Xenopus tropicalis: one gene and its partners. The protein of the gene in region 5 interacts with the protein of the main gene of each other region in a biochemical or structural test. Links are inferred from orthologs where the notes say so. Each region holds a gene or a part of one and is shown on either strand. Other genes may lie near its edges. The genes, in order: ptprr, atf2, gab2, elk1, mapk1, mbp and jun.

The links.
Region 1: the proteins of mapk1 (region 5) and ptprr form a complex in vitro, tested with the Homo sapiens proteins (2 studies listed by BioGRID, with this or other methods). The link is inferred for Xenopus tropicalis from reciprocal best matches to the Homo sapiens genes MAPK1 and PTPRR.
Region 2: of the proteins of mapk1 (region 5) and atf2, one has a biochemical effect on the other in vitro, tested with the Homo sapiens proteins (3 studies listed by BioGRID). The link is inferred for Xenopus tropicalis from reciprocal best matches to the Homo sapiens genes MAPK1 and ATF2.
Region 3: of the proteins of mapk1 (region 5) and gab2, one has a biochemical effect on the other in vitro, tested with the Homo sapiens proteins (2 studies listed by BioGRID). The link is inferred for Xenopus tropicalis from reciprocal best matches to the Homo sapiens genes MAPK1 and GAB2.
Region 4: of the proteins of mapk1 (region 5) and elk1, one has a biochemical effect on the other in vitro, tested with the Homo sapiens proteins (16 studies listed by BioGRID and IntAct, with this or other methods). The link is inferred for Xenopus tropicalis from reciprocal best matches to the Homo sapiens genes MAPK1 and ELK1.
Region 6: of the proteins of mapk1 (region 5) and mbp, one has a biochemical effect on the other in vitro, tested with the Homo sapiens proteins (16 studies listed by BioGRID and IntAct). The link is inferred for Xenopus tropicalis from reciprocal best matches to the Homo sapiens genes MAPK1 and MBP.
Region 7: of the proteins of mapk1 (region 5) and jun, one has a biochemical effect on the other in vitro, tested with the Homo sapiens proteins (2 studies listed by BioGRID, with this or other methods). The link is inferred for Xenopus tropicalis from reciprocal best matches to the Homo sapiens genes MAPK1 and JUN.

Annotation. Positions count from the first base shown.
Region 1 is NC_030679.2:59,563,325-59,566,824, reverse strand, and holds part of ptprr (receptor-type tyrosine-protein phosphatase R precursor), read left to right. Parts: intron 1-2,954; coding exon 2,955-3,214; intron 3,215-3,500. UniProt on the Homo sapiens protein: Sequesters mitogen-activated protein kinases (MAPKs) such as MAPK1, MAPK3 and MAPK14 in the cytoplasm in an inactive form.
Region 2 is NC_030685.2:64,401,198-64,404,697, forward strand, and holds part of atf2 (cyclic AMP-dependent transcription factor ATF-2), read right to left. Parts: intron 1,005-3,500; coding exon 829-1,004; intron 1-828. UniProt on the Homo sapiens protein: Transcriptional activator which regulates the transcription of various genes, including those involved in anti-apoptosis, cell growth, and DNA damage response.
Region 3 is NC_030678.2:168,999,494-169,002,993, reverse strand, and holds part of gab2 (GRB2-associated-binding protein 2), read left to right. Parts: coding exon 1-166; intron 167-1,981; coding exon 1,982-2,556; intron 2,557-3,500. UniProt on the Homo sapiens protein: Adapter protein which acts downstream of several membrane receptors including cytokine, antigen, hormone, cell matrix and growth factor receptors to regulate multiple signaling pathways.
Region 4 is NC_030684.2:1,348,786-1,352,285, forward strand, and holds part of elk1 (ETS domain-containing protein Elk-1), read left to right. Parts: intron 1-128; coding exon 129-566; intron 567-1,131; coding exon 1,132-1,515; intron 1,516-2,463; coding exon 2,464-2,565; intron 2,566-2,656; coding exon 2,657-2,755; 3' UTR 2,756-3,500. UniProt on the Homo sapiens protein: Transcription factor that binds to purine-rich DNA sequences. Forms a ternary complex with SRF and the ETS and SRF motifs of the serum response element (SRE) on the promoter region of immediate early genes such as FOS and IER2.
Region 5 is NC_030677.2:154,033,074-154,036,573, reverse strand, and holds part of mapk1 (mitogen-activated protein kinase 1), read right to left. Parts: intron 3,367-3,500; coding exon 3,184-3,366; intron 3,045-3,183; coding exon 2,855-3,044; intron 2,325-2,854; coding exon 2,208-2,324; intron 1,242-2,207; coding exon 1,127-1,241; intron 1-1,126. UniProt on the Homo sapiens protein: Serine/threonine kinase which acts as an essential component of the MAP kinase signal transduction pathway. MAPK1/ERK2 and MAPK3/ERK1 are the 2 MAPKs which play an important role in the MAPK/ERK cascade.
Region 6 is NC_030682.2:98,910,145-98,913,644, reverse strand, and holds part of mbp (myelin basic protein), read right to left. Parts: intron 981-3,500; coding exon 532-980; 3' UTR 1-531. UniProt on the Homo sapiens protein: The classic group of MBP isoforms (isoform 4-isoform 14) are with PLP the most abundant protein components of the myelin membrane in the CNS. They have a role in both its formation and stabilization.
Region 7 is NC_030680.2:86,738,690-86,742,508, forward strand, and holds jun (transcription factor AP-1), read left to right. Parts: upstream 1-1,152; 5' UTR 1,153-1,657; coding exon 1,658-2,596; 3' UTR 2,597-3,319; downstream 3,320-3,819. UniProt on the Homo sapiens protein: Transcription factor that recognizes and binds to the AP-1 consensus motif 5'-TGA[GC]TCA-3'.

The DNA of each region.
Region 1 (3,500 bases), on a different chromosome or scaffold from region 5:
AATCGTGGAAGATGCCTTGAGAGGAAACTTCCACGATTTCACTGAAATCACGCCGCCACGTATGCCATCCCACCGGCGATTTACATTTTCGCCGGTGGGATGGCATTTCGGGGAGATTAGTCGCCCGCGAACAGGGAGATTTGTACTACAGCCCTTAAGGACCACATGCTGCTTTTTTACAGTATCCTAAAATCTGAATGAAGCTAATTATACATTTTGTCACAAGAACAAAGAAGAATGAAGAAAAGTGATTTATTTTACCCCTATATATTTCCCCTGTTGGAATAGCTGTACCCCAAATTTTAGCCCTACAAGTCTGACATGTCTGAAGATCTGAGAAATAATGATTAAGACAATCTGGTCATGCAACCAGTCCTGTTTGGGGGGCTTTGCCATTACAAATCATTCATTTTCTGCTCTCTTGGTTGTACCTGTAAGCAAACTCATATAATGTGTAAGTAAATACAGAATAGAGATTCATGGAAAGCTCTTCTTCAAGGTTTCCCTTCGATGCTGTCAGATTTTCTAGTGGGTTCTACTCACACTTCTTTTTCCCTGTCTTCCAAATATGACTAGATGTGTGTAACATAACCTAGCCTGAAGCAGCTGGATATGACACTGTAAATGATACCTAATGTAAAGAATTTAGAGAATGATTTGCATTTATGCTTTGGTGGTAGGTTAAGTAGAACAGGTTTTGCATATGCATATTGCTTGAGTCATTCTATTCCCCTGAAACGAAGTGAATAGACTTACGAACTGCCTAATACATGTGAGCAGAAGGAAATGCCTATATTTATCATCCTTTCCTTCTTAGCAACCAAATCAGATGGCAGATGGACTCCCAAAAAATAAAAATAAAATCTAATCAGGATAGTGGAGGTATTGGAATTAGGGAACATGGGGATTCCAGATGCTTTATGAAGATTAGATGGCCTTTTCTAAAATATACTACTATTTCTGTGTTATGAGAGAAATATTAATCCCTCTTGTGTTGGTGACGCCTTTAACTCAAGAATAACCCTAAAGGAGACAGCTAATTGCTAGGACAGGAGTGCAACAGAAGTATAAAACAATCCCCAAACAGGCAGTGGAGACCACAGTAAGGGGAATATTTACTATGGTGTTTAAAATATCTTTTGCCAAAAAGTAGTGGTGTGAAATACATGGTGCTTTTGTGAAGCTGGGCTGTTTGTATTTGTAATGTTTGTATTTTTTTATGTCGGACTAATGCCAAAAATTATGCCACAACTAATTATTTTTACAAGTAAATAAAGCTTGCTATGTAACCAGGATAAACTTCCCTTATTACAATTGCATTTAGTAGTTTCCAATAGTTTTGAATTTTCCTCTGTGCTTTCTATTTGTAAGTATGATTTTAAAGGAGAAGGAAAGGTAAAAACTACATAAGTTTTATCAGAAATGTCTATGTAAATACAGCCATAAGCACTCACAGAAATGATGCACTGAGTCCTCTAAAGATTTGTTGTCTCTGTTTTCCTGTGCCAGAGACACACAGCTCTCTCCTTTCTCCCCTCTTCTGCTCCTCCCTCCCTCAAGAATGCTAAGAACTTACTCCCCCCCCCTTAGGAATGTATATCTGAGCCAATCAGCAGGAAGCTTCCTCATAGTTTTACTAACGGAGCATGTACACCGGCCTTGGTCTTGGTTCAGGAGCAAGGCATTATGGGAACTTTCTTTACAGAGCTCAGCGTTCTTGTTTTCCTATGAGGCTTCTGATCATCTAAACGGGAGAAATATGGGGAGACTTAAGGGCACTATTGAGAGAACTGAAGGTATGCCTGCAGCTTGAGATTAACTCTTTATTAGCCTTTCCTTTTCCTTTAAAGGATTTGAATAAAAGTTAGTTTTTTCATAGTTAGATAGTTCAGATAGTTTATCTGAAGGTGTGCCATTGAGGATGTGTCTTTTGTAAAATATTGTCTTAATTAACTTACACACTGTGTACCCGACAGTACACTATAGTGCAAGGTTTTTTTTTCAGACATATTGTTTTAAATAATGCACCATGGTCTTGATGTTTGCCATATTCTAATGCCCCTTTTTATACCCTTACCTCAATATGTAATTAAAGGCACTAAGTTTTCCCTGGTGCAGTAACCCATAGCAACCAATAATATGTTCTCTTTTAAACAGATGACCAGTAAATGCTACCCACTGATTGGTTGCTATAGGTTATTGCACCAGGGAAAACTTAGTGCCTTTTATTACATCACCCCCTTAAACTCTTATTGCTTTTGCACAAATGGTACAGACATTGCAGTTTTTGATAATTCAGGAACATTTTAGGTTGACTTTGAATTTCGACCAGCACAAATAGCAGCACTCAAAATGCCCCTCTTCACCTGCCATGGGAAAAATTGTGTTTAGTGCACATGAAGGGGGCAACAGAGGGCCTGCACTCAAAAATGCATGCTTAAGCATTTCTAAGCATAGGTCCATCTATCAGTGCTATTTGTTTCCCGTTTAATAAGGGAAGTGCTGATAGGTGGAGTAGGATATTTTGACCACTGTTGTTTGCCGCCTGATGATGGCAGTAGTCAAAACACCCAGTCTGACATCAGCATTAGTGTTCTGCAGAAACTATTCAAAAGGGAACCAGCACTAGTGTTGTTTCTGCTGAATGAAAAAGGATTTGAGTGTGTTCATTGACATGTATGTGTGGAACTTCACAAGCTGTTCAATTATACCTAATATACTGGTCACAGTCCAACTCTTATGTAAAACCTTTAGAGAGCCGACTCTAGTATGTGATAGATTAGTCAGAATAACAAAAACAAACATTAAACCTTCCAAGAAGTTAAATAAACTCCCACAGGACAAATTATGAGCTTTTTTGAGAACTCCGCTTTGATTCTTTTTGTGTTTGTTTTGCTATGTTTATAGAGTAGGAGGAGAATATTGTAAATACTCTTTACTTTCTATCTCCGTAGGTTCTCTACAGATTAAAAGAAAAGATTCAGTTTTCATTGAGGCAGGACAAAAAAAATCAGGAGATCCACCTGTCGCCTCTCCCAGCTCAGCCTTCACCATCTCAGGCTAAACGGCCAAGCAGTATGGTGCAGCATGAACATATCCCTAAAGCTGTGAATGTTATTGTAGACCCCCAGTGCCAAGGCACCTTTGAGATCAGACCTCCTCTGTCTGCGGGACCTTCTCCATTTAAAATGAAACCCGTAGGCCTCCAAGAAAGGTAAGCATATATTTTATATGAAATTAGTCCTCCGAACGGCTGTCTCATCTATGAGCTATGGAAACACCCAACTGCACATTTTATAAAGTTCCTCTTTTTGGTTACAATGACCATCTGGCTTGTGACAAAGCATGCCTGCAGTTAATGTTTATTTTTTTAAAGGAACAGTAACAAGAAAAATGATTAATATCACCCGGCATACTATTCATTTTCATTGAACAAAATGTCCTGATTTTTAATGCAATGTATTTATAACTTATTTTATGTATTGTGTCTTTTGTATATT
Region 2 (3,500 bases), on a different chromosome or scaffold from region 5:
CACATGCCCAGCAGTTATCACATGCATGTTGCCTGGGGGTGATGTATATCTGACACACATATGCACCAGTGATCTGTATCCTGGGGCTCTCCCTCTTGGGGGGTTGGTCCAGCTGATATACCCCAATCACCCCTGCCCATATAATTTTGTTGCCCTAGGTGCCTTGAAAATGTATGATAAGTAGTATAAATGTTGCTTATGTGTGTATATGCATGTCACAATAATTCTGGAAAAGCTCAACTTTACCAACCAAATTAGCTATCTAATAAAGTCTCTTTTGGCAAAATCACACAGCCTGTTTGAGAACTTGTTTTGCAGGGGAAGCACTAAGGAAAGTGTCTAATTTAACAAAGGATGTTATAAAAGCAATGTTATATGATTTGTTAGTTAGCTCATACCATTCTTTCCTTTCATTTATAGAGGTTTCCCAGCTTGTAGTTCAGATTGCTATCATAGGTTATCCTCCTCTAAGCAAAAGGCATAATTTCTCTAGCCTGCTACTGACATCTTGCAAGTATGCCTATTTAGTTTTATCCTTCAGTTAAGTTATTTTATTCAAATCTGCCTGTAGGGCCATTGGCTATAAAAAAAAACAAAACAAAACAAAAAACAATTAGTAACTAGTGATTCCCAAGGCTCTGCAATTTTGAAAGGGCCCCATGCATTCTTAGCTGGCAACCACTGACCTAAATCAAATGCTGCACACTAAAGGACACGGCCTGACTTTGGTTACAAACCATTATCGTAAAATCTGCTGGGTACCAGAGAGTTAAAGGTGTTTTGGATAGTTTGTATTGAAATTACAAAGCAACAGAATGGGATACTTACACTATTGGTCTGCTAGCTGGAGGGGCTTGCGTGATTACAGTGCTGGATGTTGGTGAAGGTATTGCCGGTTGAATAATGACACTTGAATCTGTATTTGTAAGCAGCACATTAGGAACCTGAAGAGACGCAGGGCGTACAATGGTAGATGTGGGTTGTGCGGCTGGCAATGGCACTTCCTATAACATGAAATAAGTCTGTTAATATATATTCCTCATAATACATTCACTTATTACATGATTCTTGCAAAATAGAAGGAAGTACAGGTATGTCAATTGTTATCCGCAAAACTGTTATATTATTGGGGAGGCCATCTCCCATAGAATCCGGTTAAAGCCAATAAATCTAATTTTTAAAAATGGTTTTGTTTTGTCTCCATAATAAATCAGTACCTTGTACCTGACATTTACGAAACCTCATGAATCTATATTGGCAGCAAATAAATCCTACTGGGTTAATTTAATTTTTGTGTGACAAGTAGTAATTGATTTATGAAACAGTGTTCTAAATTACGGAAAGATCCCTTGTTAGGAGAACCTGAGGTTCCAAGCATTCTGGATAATAGATCCTATACCAGTATTTGATTTGAAGATGGGAATTCAGGAGAACCAAATTCCCACTTGTGACCTTATTTTTGAGAAGTTTTTGAAAACAGGTTTGCTAAAGGAACAGTAACATCAAAAAATGAACGTGTTTTAAAGTAATTAAAACATAATGTGCTGTTGCTCTGCAAAAAACTGGTGTTTTTGCTACAGAAAAGCTACTATATAAATAAGCTGATGTGTAGCCATGGGGGCAGCCATTCAAGCTGGAAAAAAGGAGAAAAGGCACAGGTTACATAGCAGATAACTAGTAGCTAAGCCCCATATAATGGGGGTTTATCTGTTATCTGCTAAGTAACCTGTGCCTTTTATCCTTTGAATGGCTGCCCCCATGGCTACACAGCAACTTACTTATATAAACTATAGTAGTCTTTCTGAGGAAAACACACCAGCTGTAGCAATGCAGGGCAACAGTACATTATATTGTAATTACTTTTATACACTTTAATTTTTTGGTGTTACTGTTCCTAGGCTTTTTTCCTTCTGCTGGGACAGAACAGTGGCAGACAAAACACCACTCTCTCTACTTGTCATTGACCCAAATATTTGAGAATAAAAAGCAGCATGTGTGCTGTAAATGGTGGACATTGCCCATGGTCTGCCGTCACTGGACTGTGTCTGTTCAATAGGACACTTGTCATTCAGTAGCATTCTGAGCAAGTGGAAAGGTGAGTTTTGTCTGCCATGGTTCTCTGGGGCAGTGGTCAACAAAATGCCCTGTGTGCCAAGGGCCTAAGTTCAACTCGAGGCATTTAAATCTTTTAAGAGAAGTATATAAATGCAGCTTACAGTTCCATTTAGTTAAATCATTAACATTAGGCTCAGATTGAAATGACAATTTTACTATTAAGTAGCAATAAAACATGGAGAAGGGTAAAGGCTGAATACAGAATGTCAGTACATATATGTTGCTACTACATTTCAAATGTGATTTAGAAAACATCCAGTTGGAAACATCCAAACCCACTTTGTACACTTTAGTTTTATCAAGGAATGGAACAACAGAAACATTAAGGGCAAAGACACACAGAGCTACTTAGTAGCAGCTACTTGTCACGGTTACTATGTGCCAGAAAATACCCTGCCATAGACAGTACTGAAAATTGCCTCTGCTAAAACACATGTAGAGACAATTATCAGTAAATGATCAGCACTGTCTATTTCTGTAGTTGTGACAAGTAGCTGCTACAAGTAGCTCCATTTTTTTTACCCTTAGGGCTCTGGTACACAGGGAGATTAGTCGCCCGCGACAAATCTCCCTTGTTGCGGGCGACTAATCTTCCCGATATGACATCGCACCGGCGAAATGTAAATCGCCGGTGGGATGGCATAAGTGGCGGGGATACGTTGCCTTTCGAGGCGCCGCCGCGTATGCCATTTACGTTTTCGCCAGTGGGATGTCATATCGAGGAGATTAGACACTAGCAACAAGGGAGATTTGTCACGGGCGACTAATCTCCCCGTGTACCAGGGCCCTTAAAGGGATGAAAACACCAAAATAAGATAAAAGATAAAATCTTATCTAATGAAACAACATTGTAAACAGTTTTCTACTCCACATTCATCAATGGTTGTGTCTCTGGAAACAACATGGCACAAGTCAGCAATGAATGCTCCTTCACAGAGCTAGACTGGCTTTTGCTACACTGTTTCAAAGGTCTTAACCACCGATACGGCACAGAAGAGAAAGGGTCAGACAGACACTGCTTACAGAAGCAGTTATTTACAAAATAACTCTGAAGTTAAAGACACATGCAGCGATTAGTAGACGCAACTTTGTAAAAAGTTGTGGTGACTAATCCGCGCAGTGCAAAACCACAGGCCATTAGTCACAGTGACTTCCATAATAACCTATGGTGGGACCGTCGCTGCGATTAGTTGCAACTATTGCCTTTTTTTTTTTTTTTTTTAAAAAAGCCGCGCCAACTAATCACCATGTGTGTCTTCACTCTAAAACCAGAAATATGCAATGAATGAACATGGGAAAAGTTGCAAAAATTACATTCACATTTCATTAGACAAAATATTTTTTGCATTTACATCCCCTTTATAACAAAACTAAAATTGTGGTAC
Region 3 (3,500 bases), on a different chromosome or scaffold from region 5:
TTCTCAGGGAGAGAAAGACTTCGGCACCTTCCCATTCCAGTCAGCCCACTTTGTTTACATTCGAGTCTCCTTCTAACCACGCTCACCAGACGGCGCTATCCACCAGCGCGCCTCAGGATTACCTGTTCCTGCACCAATGTATGAGCCAAAAGTCCGAGACCATGAGGTAAGAACCGTCGCCGTTCTGGGAGCCCATTGTCTGGACATGGGTGGTTTGTTGACCATTTAATGAACAAGTCAAAAGGGTTGAGGAGACACAAACCAAAGGGATTCTGGGAACAAATTCCTTAAGGCTTCTAAAAAAATCCCATTTACATGGGTTCATCCTATAGGCTAAAGCTCACCCACTGGGTTTTTGAAGCCAGCCAACTGATCAGATTCCCAACTACAGACTGGTTTTGGGGGCTCATCAGTGTAGTGCAGGGTTTTCTGAACCGCTTAGGGAGAGCCAGGGGTGAGGATTCACAAACAAGTCAAAAAGGTTGAGGAGACCGCCTCATACATATACAAATAGACCCCAGGGATTCTGGGCCTAAGCTGATCAGAAATCCCTGCACTACACTGATGAACCCCAAGAAGAGCGAAACCCGTCTGTAGTTGGGAATCTGATCAGCTATTATCCTGGCTTTTGCTTTAAAACCCAGTGGGTGAGCTTTAGCCTATAGGATAAACCCATGTAAATGGGATTTTTTTATTTGTTCCCAGAATCCCTTTGGTCTATAGACCATTTAACCAATGTCTGAAGCAGTAATCCTGAACAAAAGCTCAGAAGAGCAAATTTGTGGAGGGGATTTGTGCCTAAAAAACCAGAGACTCCGACGACTGATAAACACAGAGACTGTATACGGTGCTTTATGGGGCATTAGCAGTTGGGGCAATACTGAATGTATGCAAGTGAATGGGGGAGGTTTCGAGTGCCCGTGTGTTATTGCCCTTGAACAAGACACAAATGGCTGAGCAGATACTGATCGGAGACATCTGGAGACGAGAGAGGAAGTGAGATAACCATAAAGAACTTAGAAGGAGAGCAGTAAAACACTAAATAAATTAGAGTGCAGATAACGATCAGAGACGATTGACAGATAAGTGAGATGAGCAATCATAAAGAGCCAGGGCAAAGATGGCTGCACAGGGAGCAATGAAGGTGAAACTGGCCATAAACCATAATGGAAAACCTCTAGGTCAATACTGAGAACCTACGGTAAACAAAATATCTCTTCTGTGATTAGGAAGTTGCTGTTCATACAAATACACATTATTCTACATAGGAACATAGTAGTTGGGGTTGCAAAAAAGATAACGGTGCATCAGTTTCAACCCTTTACATAATCCAGAGGAAGGCAACCCCCCCATCCATAGCCATCTACAGTTTGGCCTAAAGGTCCCCTTTACACGGGCTGATCCGCTCGAGCAGATCTTCTCCCGAATATCCCCACCTATGGGTGGGCGATATCGGGAGAATCCAGGATAATTCGATTGCTTGGCCCCGATCCCAAACGATCGAATTATAATGACGGGTATAGGAAAAGTCGGTCCGGGGACCACATCAACAAGCCGATGCGGTCCCCGATCCAACTAGATTTTCTAACCTGCCCGATCAAGATCTGGACGATTTCAGGCCAGATATCGGTTGGGCAGGCCCATCAGGAGTGCCCATACACAGGCCGATTAGCTGCCGAATTGGTCTAAGGGACCCATATCATCAGCTACAATCGGCCCCTGTATTTCACTTGGGCATCTAACCCTTTCTTAAAGCTCTCTAATGTATCTGCCATTCTAACCATTTCAGGGAGGGAACTTTACATCTCTCACTGTAAAGAAAACCCTTATCTCAAGGAATCTCCTTCTGTTTATTGGAAGGACCTACAGCTAAATAAGTTAGTTTACATTATGGTGCCCTTATACATAGTTATCATATCCCCCCTTCTAGTGCAAGAGCTGCCATCTTGGCCAACCTTAACATTATTTTTTTTTCCCCCAGAAGTGCCAGTTTTTCCCAAGCCACAAGGTCCTCCTTTTTTATGAGAAGCGACTCGGCCGTCCAGAAGTTGGTCCAGGGTTACGGTCACTGTTTGAACGGGATCAGCGGACAAGTGCACGGCTTTTATAGTTTACCCAAGCCGAGCAGACTTAGTTCTGAGCTTAGGGACAGTGCTTACGACCTGCCGAGAAGCTTTGGCTCTGACACACCAACCAAGTCAAGCCTTACAGGACTGGAGTCGGAAAGCGAGGATGTTTACTGCTACAAAACTCCCAGCAATGCTCTGTGTAAAGAGCTTAGGGAACTGTCAACGGATTCCTATGATATCCCTGGGACGCCGCTCTCTGTGTATCAGATCCCAAGAACTTTCACTTTAGACAAGAACCACAATGCTCTGGGTCTTGCCTCCAATGACTTCCATTCCACACCCCCTCCCCGTCCCCCTAAACCAGGACAAGCAGAGACGATTTGGGGTAGCCCACAGCCACAACATCATCATAATGGCGATAACGTGGCAATGGTCAATCTTCCAAGGAGGAACACGTTACCAGCCGTGGAGAATAAGCGCCATCGAGGTACTACTGGCTTTGAAATCTTCAATATTCCGCCATATTTATCCACTCAACACTGTTCATTGTTCCATATTTAGTCAGTAGACTATGTTTCACCTTTTTTTGTTTTTTTCCCAGTAATAACTAGATTCATAACTATTGTTCCATCAATGCCTACATTCCATTTGGTGGCTCTTTGGAAAAATGATATGCTTCATGCCAAAGTGGCAAATGTACATCATAAGTCAATTTATTTGAATGGTATAGCTCAGGGGTAGGGAACCTATGGCTCAGGAGCCAGATGTGGCTCTTTTGATGGCTGCATTTGGCTCGCTGCCAAATCTTTAATAAAAAAAATAACGGGGGGATGAGGCCAGCGCTCGGCGGATAGAAGACGTGTTCTAAGCCTTAGAACACATCTTCTATCCGCCGAGCGCAGGCCGCACCCTCCACTGCATCGCATCAGCGTCCGGCATCCTTGGGACCCACCCTACCTTGCCCCGCAGCCAAACATTGTATGGCTCTCACAGAATTACATTTTAAAATACGTGGTGTTCTCTCAGCCAAAAAGGTTCCCGACCCCTGGTATAGATAACTGGTGATACATAATATTTTTTCTCTGTCGACCAGTGGTTTTAGGACTTAATTGTTTTGAAGGCCCTTTGAGGTCCAGCTATTGGTGATGGTCCCTTTAGCTCAGTGATCCCTTAACTAGTGGCTCAGGGACATCATGTTCCCCACCACCCCCTTTTGATGTTGCCCATTTTTACATTTCTGGCTTGGAGACAAGTTTTGGAAGCCCATAGACACAGTTTTACCTGCAGGCCACATGAGGCTACCAAATAGCCAATCACAGCCCTTATTTGGCACCCCCAAAGAACTTTTTTCATGCTTGTGTGTCTCCCCAACACTTTTTACATCTACGTGTGGCTCACGAGTAAAAAATGTTGGAGATGGTTTGAAGGATA
Region 4 (3,500 bases), on a different chromosome or scaffold from region 5:
CACGAGAGTATTTGATACCACGAGAGTATTTGTACCACGAGAGTATTTGTACCATGAGAGTATTTGGTACCATAGGTTATACATATAATAAGTGCCTTTGATGATCGTTGGATCTTGTCTCATTTCAGAACATTATTAAGAAGGTGAGTGGGCAGAAGTTTGTGTACAAGTTTGTTTGTTACCCGGATCCCGGCAACAGTGAGGTCTCTAAGGACGATGGCAAGTGCAGAGAGAGTGTGAGCGAGCCCAGCCAGCCCCCCAAATCCGCCGACAGCTCCCCCTTTGTCCCCAAGATGGTTCGGAGCAGCTCTAAGACGAGTCGCAATGAGTACATGCGCTCCGGCCTCTACTCCACTTTCACCATCCAGTCCCTGCAAGCCCCCCCTGCAGGCCAGCCCAAGACTAGCAAGCTGGAAGCCCCTCCTCCACTGACTGAAGCCCCGCCCTCACTCCAGGTGAAAGGGCAGAGCATCGAGGTACCACCCCCGTACGAAGTGGCTGAGCAGAACAGTGAGGCCCTGTCTGTAGAAGTGAATATTCACAGCTCCGAGGAGCTCCAGTTACAGGTAATGATCCTTCCACTGAATGTGCCGCCATTACTGGCTCCCTATAAAACAATGGTTCCCCCATAATGAATGTGCCGCCATTACTGGCTCGGTATAATACAATGGTTCCCCCGTAATGAATGTGCCGCCATTACTGGCTCTGTATAATACAATGGTTCCCCCATAATGAATGTGCCGCCATTACTGGCTCCGTATAATACAATGGTACAAAGGTTCCCCCATAATGAATGTGCCGCCATTACTGGCTCGGTATAATACAATGGTTCCCCCGTAATGAATGTGCCGCCATTACTGGCTCTGTATAATACAATGGTTCCCCCATAATGAATGTGCCGCCATTACTGGCTCCGTATAATACAATGGTACAATGGTTCCCCCATAATGAATGTGCCGCCATTACTGGCTCTGTATAATACAATGGTTCCCCCATAATGAATGTGCCGCCATTACTGGCTCTGTATAATACAATGGTTCCCCCATAATGAATGTGCCGTCACTATTCCCCCACATCTTGCCCAGCAGTTTGTGTACAGAAACCTCCCATTGGTGTTTGTGTCGTACCCAGGTGACCGTGGACCCCCCCACACCTGATATTAAGGTGGAGGCAGCGGCAGAAGACCCCATTGGTGGAAGCGAGGGCCTCTCCGATGCGCCATTGTTCCCTACGGTTCTGCCTGAGCTGAAGGTGCCGGAGCCCCCCATGACCCAGGAGATCCTGGTTGTGATTGACTCCCCGGAGAAGGAGGATACGAAGAACGAGCAGAGAGACAGGGATGGGGGACCCCCCACCCCAACTTCCTCCGCCGAGGGGCAGTCAGTGAAAGGGAAGAAGCCAAAGGACTTGGAGCTGCCATACTCTGCTGTGATTGGCCAGGAGAAGATGAACTCTGCTATGAACTCACTTCTGCCCCCGGGGAGCGCGTCTTCTGTCATCACCTCCCACTCACTGGTGAGTGCAGTTCCGCCCCAGAGGGGCAACTGGGGTATTGGGCCTGGGTGCGGTTCTGTGGGTCGTAGAGATGCCAGAATGTACTGTGGGGGGGTCGGCCCCTCTGAGCTTACTGAGGAACCTATGTCAGGGGCTAAAAGCCTTAATATATAGGGGGAGGGGCAAGGAGTCTGGGACTCAAACTGGGGGTGGGACTAGGGCACTTACAGTGGGAGGGGCAAGGGGTCTGGGACTCAAACTGGGGGTGGGACTAGAGAACTGACAAGCGCTTACAGGGGGAGGGGCAGTGGGTGGGACTAGAGAACTGACAAGTACTTATAGGGGAGGGGCAGTGGGTGGGACTATGATACTGTGAATTACAGGAGAAGTCTGTCAAGCAGTGGGCGGGAATAGAGAACTGACGAGTACTTACAGGGGGAGGGGCAGTGGGTGGGACTAGAGAACTGACAAGTACTTATAGGGGAGGGGCAGTGGGTGGGACTATGATACTGTGAATTACAGGAGAAGTCTGTCAAGCAGGGGGCGGGAATAGAGAACTGACGAGTACTTACAGGGGGAGGGGCAGAGGGTGGGACTACAATACTGTGACTTGCAGGGGGAGTCTGTTAAGCAGTGGGCGGGACTAGAGTGCTAATGGACACTTACAGGGGGAGGGGCAGTGGGTGGGACTAGGATACTGTGACTTACAGGGGGAGTCTGTCTGCCAAGCAGTGGGTGGGACTAGAGAACCGACAAGCACTTACAGGGGGAGGGGCAGTGGGTGGGACTATAATAAGGCGACTTACAGGGGGAGGGGCAGTGGGTGGGACTATAATACGGTGACTTACAGGGGGAGGGGCAGTGGGTGGTACTATAATAATGTGGGCGGGACTAGAGATGGCAGTGCTATAATATTAGTACAATCCTGTGGCTGAATCAGCATTAATGCTTCTCTGTCTCCGCCCCCAGACTCCCCTCCTGCTCACCCCAAGTTCCCTCCCACCCTCTATTCACTTCTGGAGCACCCTGAGCCCTATCGCCCCCCGGAGCCCAGCCAAGCTCTCCTTCCAGGTAAGTGGCCGCTGTTCTGTCAGGGTGTAATGGCCAGTAGGGGCCACTAGGTGGGGAAAGGCCTCTCATTGGTTATTCCCTCTCCTTCCAGTTCCCAACCAATGGCAACAACCAAATCCACGTCCCCACCCTGAGCGTCGACGGACTCTCCACCCCTGTCGTTCTCTCTCCCGGACCCCAAAAGCCATAAGGGACCCGCGCAGCCGACATTCCCGCGCTTTTTCATTTGCCCGAGGGCGCCTTTTCTGCCCCAAGCGCTCTCCGAGGGAGTTTGCCGGGATACAGAACCTTCATGAAACCTTTATTTGCTGAAGGAAAGGTGGCACCAATATCTCCGGTGGCCCCGGGACTTCTGTACGTTCGGCCGGTAGAGAGGCCACGCCTCCAGCGGGAGGAACGGGATCGAGTTTTCCGTAGTCGCAGTGTTGGAGGCCAATGGATAGAGCAAGGAATGATGGGAGACGGGGTCGTTTATTGATTGGATAGACCCTCCTCTCATTGGTTTATTATCCTGGAGGTCTGTCGTTTTATCAGGGAATCGGCCAATGGCTGACGGGACATACTTGAATATGGGGGGCGTTACCCAGACTGGAGCTCAGGCTTGGGTGGGCGGGGGCAGAAAATATTTTTCTACTTTGCTGGAGATAAAGGGAAAGGGGTTTGGCTACTTGGTCGTGTACGAGGGGGGGGGCGTCGGAAGGGCGTCGCCAATTTCCTCCAACCAAAAAGCTGCAACGCGTGGGCCGGCCAATTAAAGATGGACGCCTACGCGATACATTTGCTCTCGGACAAACACAAGGAGACGCCAACGTGGCCTGGAGTTCTGTGGGACAATATGGCCGCCCCGTGGGTCACGTGACTGCCGGGGACGACACTTCTTAGCTGCTCTGTGATTCTAACAAAAAAGAAGGTCTATTTTTTGGGATATTTCGCTA
Region 5 (3,500 bases):
CTAGGGCCAAATGATCAGACCATAATGACAGGAATACAAGCATTGGAGTGGTCGAATCAACAAGTCAATGAAGTCCTCGATTCAAACCTCCCCAATTTTCAGCAAGATATTGGCAGGGTAGGGCCATGTCGAAGGGCCTCATACACTGGCAGATAATTTGCCAAAATCAACCTGAAGGGCCCGAATCGGAAGCTTAAACCTGCCCATGTAGCCCATCTTAAGTCCTACATTCGAGCAAGAAGTGTGCAAGCCAGGCAGATGGCTTGCTCAGCAGAAGCTTAGGAGAAGCACGATGTGCGCCTGAGACAGGCATAGGAGAACAAGGTTAACAGATCAATAGATATTTGTCAAAATTGTTGTTCATAATGAGCATGTTTTACAAAGCATTAAATAATAATGAAACATAATTACTGTATCTCTAAATACTGAGTGCAGTAGTTAATTGTTTGCCTTTCTGTTAATATTATAGGAAGCCAACACCCTGGTTTCTAAACTTTTAAAGCTTGTACCTACAGTTCAGAGAAATTTGATAGGCTCTTCTTTCCCATCCACACAAATACACTTAAAGTGGACCTGTCACCCAGACATAAAAAGCTGTATAATAAAAGTCCTTTTCAAATTAAACATGAAACCAAAATTCATTTTTATATTAACACATTCAAACCCATTATAAATGCATTTAAAAATCCCAGCTGTCAATCATATACTTCTTGTCCTGCCTCTATGCCTCAGACATAGAGGTGGGGCAGACAGTTACTTAAACTTTCCATTCAGCATTCACATTCCCATACCTTCTCACCATCTAATTGTGTAGCCAGTGCATGGGCCTGGGCATCAGGTCCCCCATTCTGGCACATATACAAGATCTTGGGATGATACAAAGCTTGCCTTAACAGTGCCCATAAAATGGCAGCTGCCTGCTGGCTGTGATTGTATATTTCCAAGACTGAAGGAAACAAGATTTTTTATCATTTATATAGTATGTAAAGTTAAGTTTGCTTAACAAACACAAAAGAAAAGAAATTGGAATTATTTCTTAGGGTGACAGGTCCCCTTTAAGACACTAAGATACAGAAATAATAAATACAAATTTATATACTTAACAATAGATGACTTTAGACCTTACCAAGTATGTGATTGAGTTGGTCAAGATAATGTTTTCCAGGAAATATGGGTCTATTAGAAAGCATCTCAGCAAGAATGCAGCCAACAGACCAGATGTCAATCGATTTGGTATAGCCCTGAAAACAAGCAACGTTTTTTTAGTCACTAAACCACCGTGCTAACAGTGGTCTATAACAGTCTATAGCAGATTATTCTTTTTCATAAAGGTTATGTCATTTTTTTTTCATACACACTGAGATATAACATGTACGGTACATACCATAAACAATTCCTTTCTTCGTGCCTGAACTGAGAAACAACAAACAATACAGAAGAATGGCACTCACATAATTTGCTGAATCAGTCTTCCACGGATTTATTTGCTCAACATTTTGATCCCCCCACAGGGACCTTTGTCGGGAGTCAGACAGTGCAACCACAGTAGTGATAGAATTTGATTAGAGGGGCATTTTTCTGCATTGTTTACACCCCCCCCCCCCCCCAATAATTTGTTATTTTGTGCAAAAAGATACCAGCACTCACAGGATTTTGAGTTTACTGGTAGATCAAGGTTTTACATTTGGCAGGCTTTATTGTTCATCAATCTGGGCTGCCACAAATGAATAGAATGTGATGTGCAATATATTCAAGTCCAGTGCTGTCAGACATTTCTTATGAAAAGTATCTTAGTAATAAGTTGCAGAGATGACATGCCAACATTTGAATCTAACTTGTATCACTTATATACAGGTGTTTCTGAAACAATCTCAAAGGTGACCATGTTGTGATGACTGTTACCTAAATGGGAATTTTGCAGATGACATCCCACTGGCGATTTACATTCTCGCTGGAGGGATGGCATTTCGGGGAGATTTGTCGCGCGCAGACTAATCTCCCCGTCTGTCACACACCTTATGTTAATTTTAGAAGCAAAACAACCCCTTTATGTGCTCCATAATCTATAAAAATCTCTAATGTTTAATATAGAATTATAGAAATTTAAGTCTTAAATTAACTGTGAGGCCAAAGCATATTTACATTTTGAATTACAAGAAAATTACATGCACCTATCAGTCTATCTATACATGCAGTCATTTTTTTACCTTGGAATTCAGCATGATCTCAGGAGCTCTGTACCAGCGAGTGGCTACATATTCTGTGAGAAATCCAGTGTGATCATGGTCTGGGTCTGCAACACGAGCCAATCCAAAATCACAAATCTGGAAGATACAAAGTTCCAACTTATCACATTAATAGCGTACACATGAGTGTACCTATGAGTTTGTAGAAACATTTCGTATACTATAGAATAGTTAAAAAGCCTATATTTGCGCTTTTTTTTTTGTGATTCTGTAAGGGACCACCTGCCAGTCCCATGTAATGCAAAACTGGTTTACATTGGCTCCAGTACCAGTTCAGAAACAGGGCTTAGTGCCTAGCAATGGACACTGAACACACTAGTACAAGCCAAAGCCTCGGGGGGGGGGGAAGTACTATTGCCTTAGTTGCACAACTACCCAACAACTAGCAAAAACTTTAGCCCATGTTTAGAAGAGTCCTGATGCCTGCAGGGTTTAAGGAATAGGATGGAATCACTCATACGAGTAAGCTTGTAGTTGCACTCAAAAGGGTATTGAGGTTTAAGGGTAAGGACTGTGTTTTTTTTTTTTTTTTGTTTGTTTTTTTTGCATTACAGCTCTAAGTTCTCTTTAAAGGACATTAACTATTATAATTACCAATCTGCACTGACCTTAAGATCACAGGTAGTGTTAAGCAGCAAATTTGAAGGCTTAAGATCACGATGTAGAACATTGGCTGAATGGATGTACTTTAATCCTCTCAGGATCTGGTACAAGAAATAGCAGATGTGGTCATTGCTAAGATGCTGAGTCTTCAGGAGTTTATAGAGATCTGTCTCCATGAGATCCTGCACAATATACCTGGAATGTTTAATGTAAGGCAACAATGATGGAGTGTGAAAAATTAAAGAAAGAAAAACTGAAAGAAACAAATCACATTTTTCTCTGAAATCTACTTTTGAAAAGAAAAACAGATAAACAATTTTAACAGCAAGGATACACATCTTTCATTTGCTCAATGGTTGGAGCTCGAATTATGTCATTAATTCCAATGATGTTTTCATGCTTAAAACGCAGCAAGATTTTGATCTCCCTCAGTGTTCTCTGGCAGTATGTCTGATGCTCAAATGGGCTGATTTTCTTGATAGCAACTCGTACTTTGTTTACATTGTCATAGGCAGAACTGAAATACAAAGCAAGCACAATTAATTATTGGCCACTGTTTCTACCATACATTATAAGTCAAGCTATACAGCATTAGATATCCCACAAACTCTGTAATAGTTATTTTTTTTTTTTTATTTCCAATGAATTTTG
Region 6 (3,500 bases), on a different chromosome or scaffold from region 5:
ATCTTTATCTGTCAGTTATCAGTTATATTACTTTTTTGGGGTTTATTTTGCAGTAATAATTTAAAAAACGGAAAACAATAACTGAAGCTTTGAAGCGTGTGTTGCAGGGTATAAGGCACTCCACAGCTCTGGACAGAAAGGTTCAAACAGCATATAAAATCTATAATACATGAACGCACAAAGCCAATTGCCAGAGAAGTCACAATCGCGTCTATGAGGTTTAAAGTTAATGCAGTTGGACAAGACTGTTCCTAAAGCCACATCTGGAACCAAGCTAAACTTTACCAATACTCTTCTGAAAAAGGAAAACAAGCCAGCAATATACATATACATATATATATATATATATGTATTTATCTGTACCTGAAACAAAAATCTGGGCCTTAGAAGCTAAATTGCATCAGCAAGCAATAACCCACTTACATGAACAGTACTTATGCTCTACATAGTTACTAACAATTGCAGCTATGACAGTTTCTTTGACAAACCTAATACATTGTTTTCCACTTTAATCCCATGTTAGTTTCCTTTCTATTCCTCAGAGCTCACCTTTCCTGATCCCTTCCTAGGAACAGCTCTCTCCCCTCCAAAGAACCTGCCCAGTGAGTCAAGAAGACCCGAGTCCCTGTGCCTTCCATGGGCTCCATACCCATGCCTAGAGTGATCTGAGGTGCTTGCTGTTGCCATTTGCTTTGATCCGTGCCGAGACAGTTTCTGTGATGCCATCAAATCCGAGTCTTGTGAAGTTGGTGCACTGTCCTCTGGGATGGTTTGAAGCTCATCTGACTCAGAGGGCCGATCTTTGAAGGTGTTGTCCTCTCTTCCTGGTGCATCTCGGGAAAAGAGGCGGATCAGATGTGGGCGAGAGGCAGAGTCAGATGGGTTGGCATCCTTCCAGTCATTCTTGGGGTCTTCTGTGCTTGTGGAGTCAGTCACCGCCGTGCCCTTAGAGGAGGTTCCATTGTTCTGGTTCACATCTGCTGCAAATAATAAGTGTGAGATGTGAATGCAAGGCTGTAAAAAGCAAACAATGCTGCCTTCATTCTCTCTGCCCTGAGTTAGACATTTTATGTTAATCAGACAGAATTTGCTTCATGTATTTGAAATATAAAATAATATTAAACACAGATATCGGGGTGAGTCGCATATAAAGGTAATTTCTTACTTGGCAGTTCTATAGAATTACTATATATATCTCCAGGTTTAAATGGTTACTTGTGTTAGCGAATATGCACATCATGGTTCAATAGACATGTTTATTTTTTACCTTATCTTGCTTTACACTTAGGGACTTACCAAAGCTTTCAAAATAACACCCTGAGACATATTTATATATTTAACAAACAAATGCTAGTAACACACTCCCAATATAGGGGAAAATTGCCCTGGTGCATCCAAGAGAAATAAATATCCACATGAAAAAAAATGGAGCATTCATGGGACTTACGAATAAGTGAAAACTTTTTTCTTAGTTTATATAGGTATGCAACCTGTTATCCAGAGTGCTGGATTTTTTGGTACAGCTAAATGGACTCTGAAACTTAACCCCTAGAGCAGTGATCCCCAACCATTGGCTCAGGGGCAACATGTTACTCACTAACCCCTTGAATGTTGCTATCAGTGCCCCCAAACCAGGTAGTTATCTTTGAATTCCTGACTTGGAGGCAAGTTTTGGTTAAATAAAAACAAGATTTACTACCAAATAAAGCCTCCTGTAAGCTGATAGTGTGCATAGAGGCTGCCTAATAGCCAATCTTAGCCCTTACTTGGCACCTCCATGAATCTTTATGGTGCTTGTGTTACTGTCCAAGTCGTTTTACATTTGACTGTGGCTCACGAGTAAGAAGGTTTGGGGACCCCTACAGTAAGCAATATACAGGGTGGGAGCAGTGATGCAATGCATATGCTCTATCATAAAGGCAAAGCAAGTTGTGGTGCATCTGAGCTGGAATCACCTGGGGTGCTAAAATTTATAACTATGTCTAATGACGTATAAACGTCTGGAAGCATGGGTGCATATGATTGCTGTAGGACTGGCTGTCATTTGTAGCTTCCTTTTCTTTGAAATAACTGGCACAGGCTAATTGTGCTCAGCTCTGCATAATCCTGCTCTCTAAGCATACAGTGACAATTAAATCAGAAATGCAGAAAAAAGTCACAAGATTGTAGCTGGCCTCAAAAGAAGAAGGTCGTATCAACCAAAGAAACATATTAATTGGAAAACATGGAATTTGGTTCAAGTGTCTCTCTGCCATGCACTTTATATACAGCCACATCCTAAAATTCTGTAAGGCACAGCAAGCAGAATCTTCCTGTGATTGCCAGGGGTGGCTAAAAATATCCACTTGCTGTGCTGACTATGGAAGTGCAGGGTGGCAGCTCAGATTGGCAGTATATGCAGTTGTCATTTGTTGTGCCACCTCTAACCACTAGAGAGCTAGATAGCATGCTGTCCCCACCTCTTTTCCTATCTTTCTTAGAGACATACACAAGGCAATTCCATCTGCTATTACCCCTTTGTTCAATAAATATCACCATGACCTTCCTTCCCACTGATGACTAAAACGATGATGATAAAGTTTATATGATCATTTAGGAGCCCCGAGTGCACTTTGACTGTGCATTCTACATGCGTTCGGCCTGTCATGCATTTCATTTTTTTTCACGTACTTCAGACTATTCCCACGTAGGGACCATCCTGGATATATATGATATTCTGTCCATTATGAAAAACATTGGAAACTAAAAGTGATATTATTGTACAGCGCTGCAGAATATGTTGGAGCTTTATAAATACATGTTAATAATATTATTATTATGTCAAAAAAGTGGTGTAAAATAAAAGTAATATTTTTAAAGCTTTTGATTTGACACTGTCAATATCTTTAATCAACAAAGGTGTATATTTTATTTTGATTTTATCCAGAAATAGACACCATTTTTTACACCATCTTTCAACCGTTGAAACCCATAAGGTTGCTTTGATTTTGCTTTCATTGTGTTATTAGACACGAGCAAACTCTGTAATAAAGCAATACAGAGAATGAAGTGCTTTATATAATTAATGGCTCACCCAAGTAGACTTTGGTTCTGGTATACATATTCCAGACCCTGACCAATGTGTGGTTACCTGAAACAAAGAAAAAATTGCAACCCCATGTAGTCAGGCGTAAAATAAAAGTTGAATATGTGGGGATTCATGACGCCCTGCTCATTTGTCTCTGTTCTGGATATGCCAAACACTATACCTTAAAAATAATACACCACCACCTAATTTAATCAGCAATATACACCTATGGTCAACATGAATTCAAATGATCCAAATAAAATAGGTATTGTAGTAAATTAATACTTTATATTTTTCAGTTATAAAGAGCTTATGATCATGGTTCCATTTTTACTGGTAAACTAGGAAGAAAAACTGATTATATAACTATTCTTATTCCTACGATGATTCTGAAAAACTGATGATATGGAAACTCAAAGAAAAAGTGCTGTTT
Region 7 (3,819 bases), on a different chromosome or scaffold from region 5:
CCCATAAAAGCCAGTCTCCGTTCTCATGGATGCAACCTGATCTCCTGTAAACTTTTTAAGCCTCCCCAGCGCTCCCCCTACCTCCTTCACCCTGCTTCCAATCATCCTTTTTTTACTTTCATCAACGCCCACATCATAATCTACACACCCACCCACCAATAAACTCCCTCCCCCACCAAATTAAAAAAAAAAAAAAAAAAAAAAAAAAAAAAAAAAAAACTTTCCCTCACCTTTTCTCCCTGGCTATCCACCCCAGTGCAGAAAGGCATGATCATTAGAATGTAGCACATGCCTACACAACACTGGGACCCTTTTAATAACAATGATGCTATACAGCCTTACATGTTCTCTGTCACTGACACTGGTGTATCTATGCAATGTTGCGATCCTCAAGCTCTTGTTGAACTCCTAGTCACATACAGCCCCACCCCCACACACGGACCCGCAATGGCCGGAGGGCTGCAACTTGGTCTCCCCCGTGTCCTACACAAAGTAAAACAGCGAAGAGAACAATAACTATAAAGCCAGTAAAACTATACCACACTAATAACATTCTACCGAAAATAACCAGTTGTTTCAAAACTACAACTCCCAGCAACCACTACCACATTTTAGTTCGGCAACTAACAAACAACATATTGAAAAACCTGCCATACTGATCGCTTAAACCTGTGGAAATAATCTGTTTCAACTCTGAGTTTTCAGTTTCACCAGCCGACAAACACAGCCCAAGTCCTCCGGTTCCTTATGTGACAGACAACCATTACAACCATATCGCGCTTTGCTAGGAAAGGGATGAGTCTCCTCCGCGGCTTACGACTACCATACAATTGCCTCAAGCCCCTGTCCAGTACCAGGGGGTGAGCGGAACAGCCCTTATGGCGGGAAACCCACGTCAAACTACCATCCCAACTACCAAAGCAAGGAACGGGCACCGCCAACAACAATACGTCAGCCCACAATGCCCAGCGGCAAAGGAGCATTACCTCATCCCATGAGCCTTCGCGAGAGTTAGAATCTTCTAGGGCGGTCGTCATAGCGACCGAGGCTCATTTGGCCTCGCTGGCCCGCCTCCCTTCCCAAGGCTCAACCAATAGCAGGACGTTGGGGTGACATCATGTCTATTTTTAGTGGGTGACCGCTCGCAGATAAGTGTTAGCTGCACGCTGTCCCACAGCCCAGTACAAGTGAGTAGAGCTCACACTGACAGCACTTGTGGCGCTTGGGGAGAAGGAACGTCTAACTTCTCAGTGACTTCTTCCTTGTGTCCGTGTGCCTGACACCTATACTGGGCACACGCACACACCCAGCGCTCGCCATTACATATCTCCGGCGGCGCTTTGGAAACTTTCCCGGGAGTTTATAAGAACTTTTGTGGCGTTCGGAGTACGAGGACCTCTTTGCTGCTAGAGACACAAAGTAAGTCGCATTTATTTCTGTTATGTGCCAGGCTGGGAGCAGTTGTGCTTGAACTCTCACTACGGGACACTGCCAGTTGTAGTTCGGCAGGCGAAGCATAAGTTCCATTTAGAAGAGGGGTGGAGGTGCCATGGGGTTCGGTGTGTCAGCTAACAACCTGTTCGCTCTTCTCTCTAGGCTGGTGCTGGTGTCACACTAACGTAAGGTCCAGTCATCGTCCCTGTCCGGCATCCGTTCTATGACTGCAAGGATGGAACCTACTTTCTACGAAGATGCCCTGAGTGCTGCTTTCGCCCAGCACGATGCTACTCCCTATGGTTACAACAAGGTGCTGAAGCAAAGCATGACCCTGAACCTGTCGGACCCCAGCAGCGCCATCAAACCTCACCTGAGAAACAAGGCAGCTGAACTGCTCACCTCCCCTGATGTTGGGCTTCTCAAGCTCGCCTCCCCGGAGTTGGAGAGGCTTATCATCCAGTCCAGCAATGGCATGATTACCACCACCCCGACCCCCACCCAGTTCCTGTGCCCCAAGAATGTCACAGACGAGCAAGAAGGCTTTGCAGAGGGGTTTGTTAGGGCACTGGCAGAACTCCACCATCAAAACAACTTGCCAAGTGTAACCACTGCCACCCAACCTGCCAGCACGGGACTGACACCTGTATCTACTATTGCTGGAAACACTGGCTTCAACAATAGTCTTCACAACGAGCCCCCTGTGTATGCCAATCTAAGTAACTTTAACCCAAGTACCATCACCACATCATCGCCTTTTAACAGCAACACCATGGGGTATACCGGCCAACATCAGAGTAACCCACCAATACCCGTGCAGCACCCCAGGTTACAGGCTCTGAAAGAGGAACCACAGACTGTACCTGAAATGCCTGGGGAGACTCCTCCACTGTCCCCTATTGACATGGAGTCCCAGGAAAGGATAAAGGCTGAAAGGAAGCGTATGAGGAATAGAATCGCAGCATCTAAATGCAGAAAAAGGAAACTGGAGAGGATTTCCAGGTTGGAAGACAAAGTTAAAAACTTAAAATCCCAGAACTCTGAACTGGCATCCACTGCCAACATGCTTAGAGAGCAAGTAGCCCAGCTCAAACAAAAAGTCATGAATCATGTCAACAGTGGGTGTCAGCTAATGTTAACACAGCAGATGCAAACATTCTGAAAAGGCTTCTTTGGGAAAGAGATGTGAGAATTATTTTGTGGAGGGAAATAGTTTCATGTTGAAACTCCCTGGCTCAAAATGAAAGGCACTGAGACCTGACTGTTCTACGTGCGTGTGCGGGGAGTCCTGACAAGCCTTTAGGTGGAGCCTGTGGCAATGCAACAAGCAGTATCACTTGTCAAGTGCTGTTCCTGCTCTAATGAAACATCAGATACATGTTTAACATTGACCAAGACCTGCATGGACCTAACATTCGATGATCATTCAGTATTAAGAAAAGGTTAAACTGCTAGAGACACTAGATTGCTTCCGTAGTTTTCTTACAAAGGGAGGGTGTGGGAGGGAGGCATACGGGACATTGAAAAGTAAAATTAATGACAAATCTGCCTGCCTTCTACATAACTGTGTATGTGTACATATTTGTTTTTTTTATTATAATATTAAGAAAAACTGAATTATTTCAGTAAAATTGCTTCAAGCATTTGTAAGTTATTTTTATGTTTGGGTTAATAAACCCACTACTTTCTGTAAATAAGAGATATTGAGCACTCTTGAGTTTACCATTTGTAATAAAGTATAATAATTTTCTATGTTTTTGTTTCTAAGGACAATTCCAGACGTTCAATTATATTTAAGATATTAAATAAAAGATGTGGAAATTAGATTTTTTTATTTATATTGATATTTTTTTTTACACTGCAATAAACGTGCATGTTAAACTATCTCCTGTGTATAGTACTTGATATATTGCATGAGTCTATTCAAGGGTATTATATTTTGACAATTATTTGATATGGGTATTGGGCAATATAAAAGTAAAAGCAGAAAAGAACATACTGACCAATATTTTCTTTATATCATAGCACTTGGGGTTATTTATATATGCTATTATAAAGTTCTGGGCTTTTGGCAAGAGTTTGCTGCTGTTATTATATGTTTGAGGGGTTAGGAATGGTTTACAGTATTCTCCAGCCTTATTGGCTAAATAATCATTTCCAAATTGTGCACCACAAATACCAACTGGTTGCCAGCCCTCTTCAATTTTACAAATTGATAAATAGTTGCTTTTCCTAAGTTTATTGAAAAAAGAAAAGTGTAACAAATTGATATAGTAGTAGTAACTAAAGTAGCTACTGATGAGAATATACCAACTAATTTATTAAACTGTAGCATTTTAGAGTCCTTGTTTCTTAAGGTGCTACTGGGAAACACAAGAGGTGTGA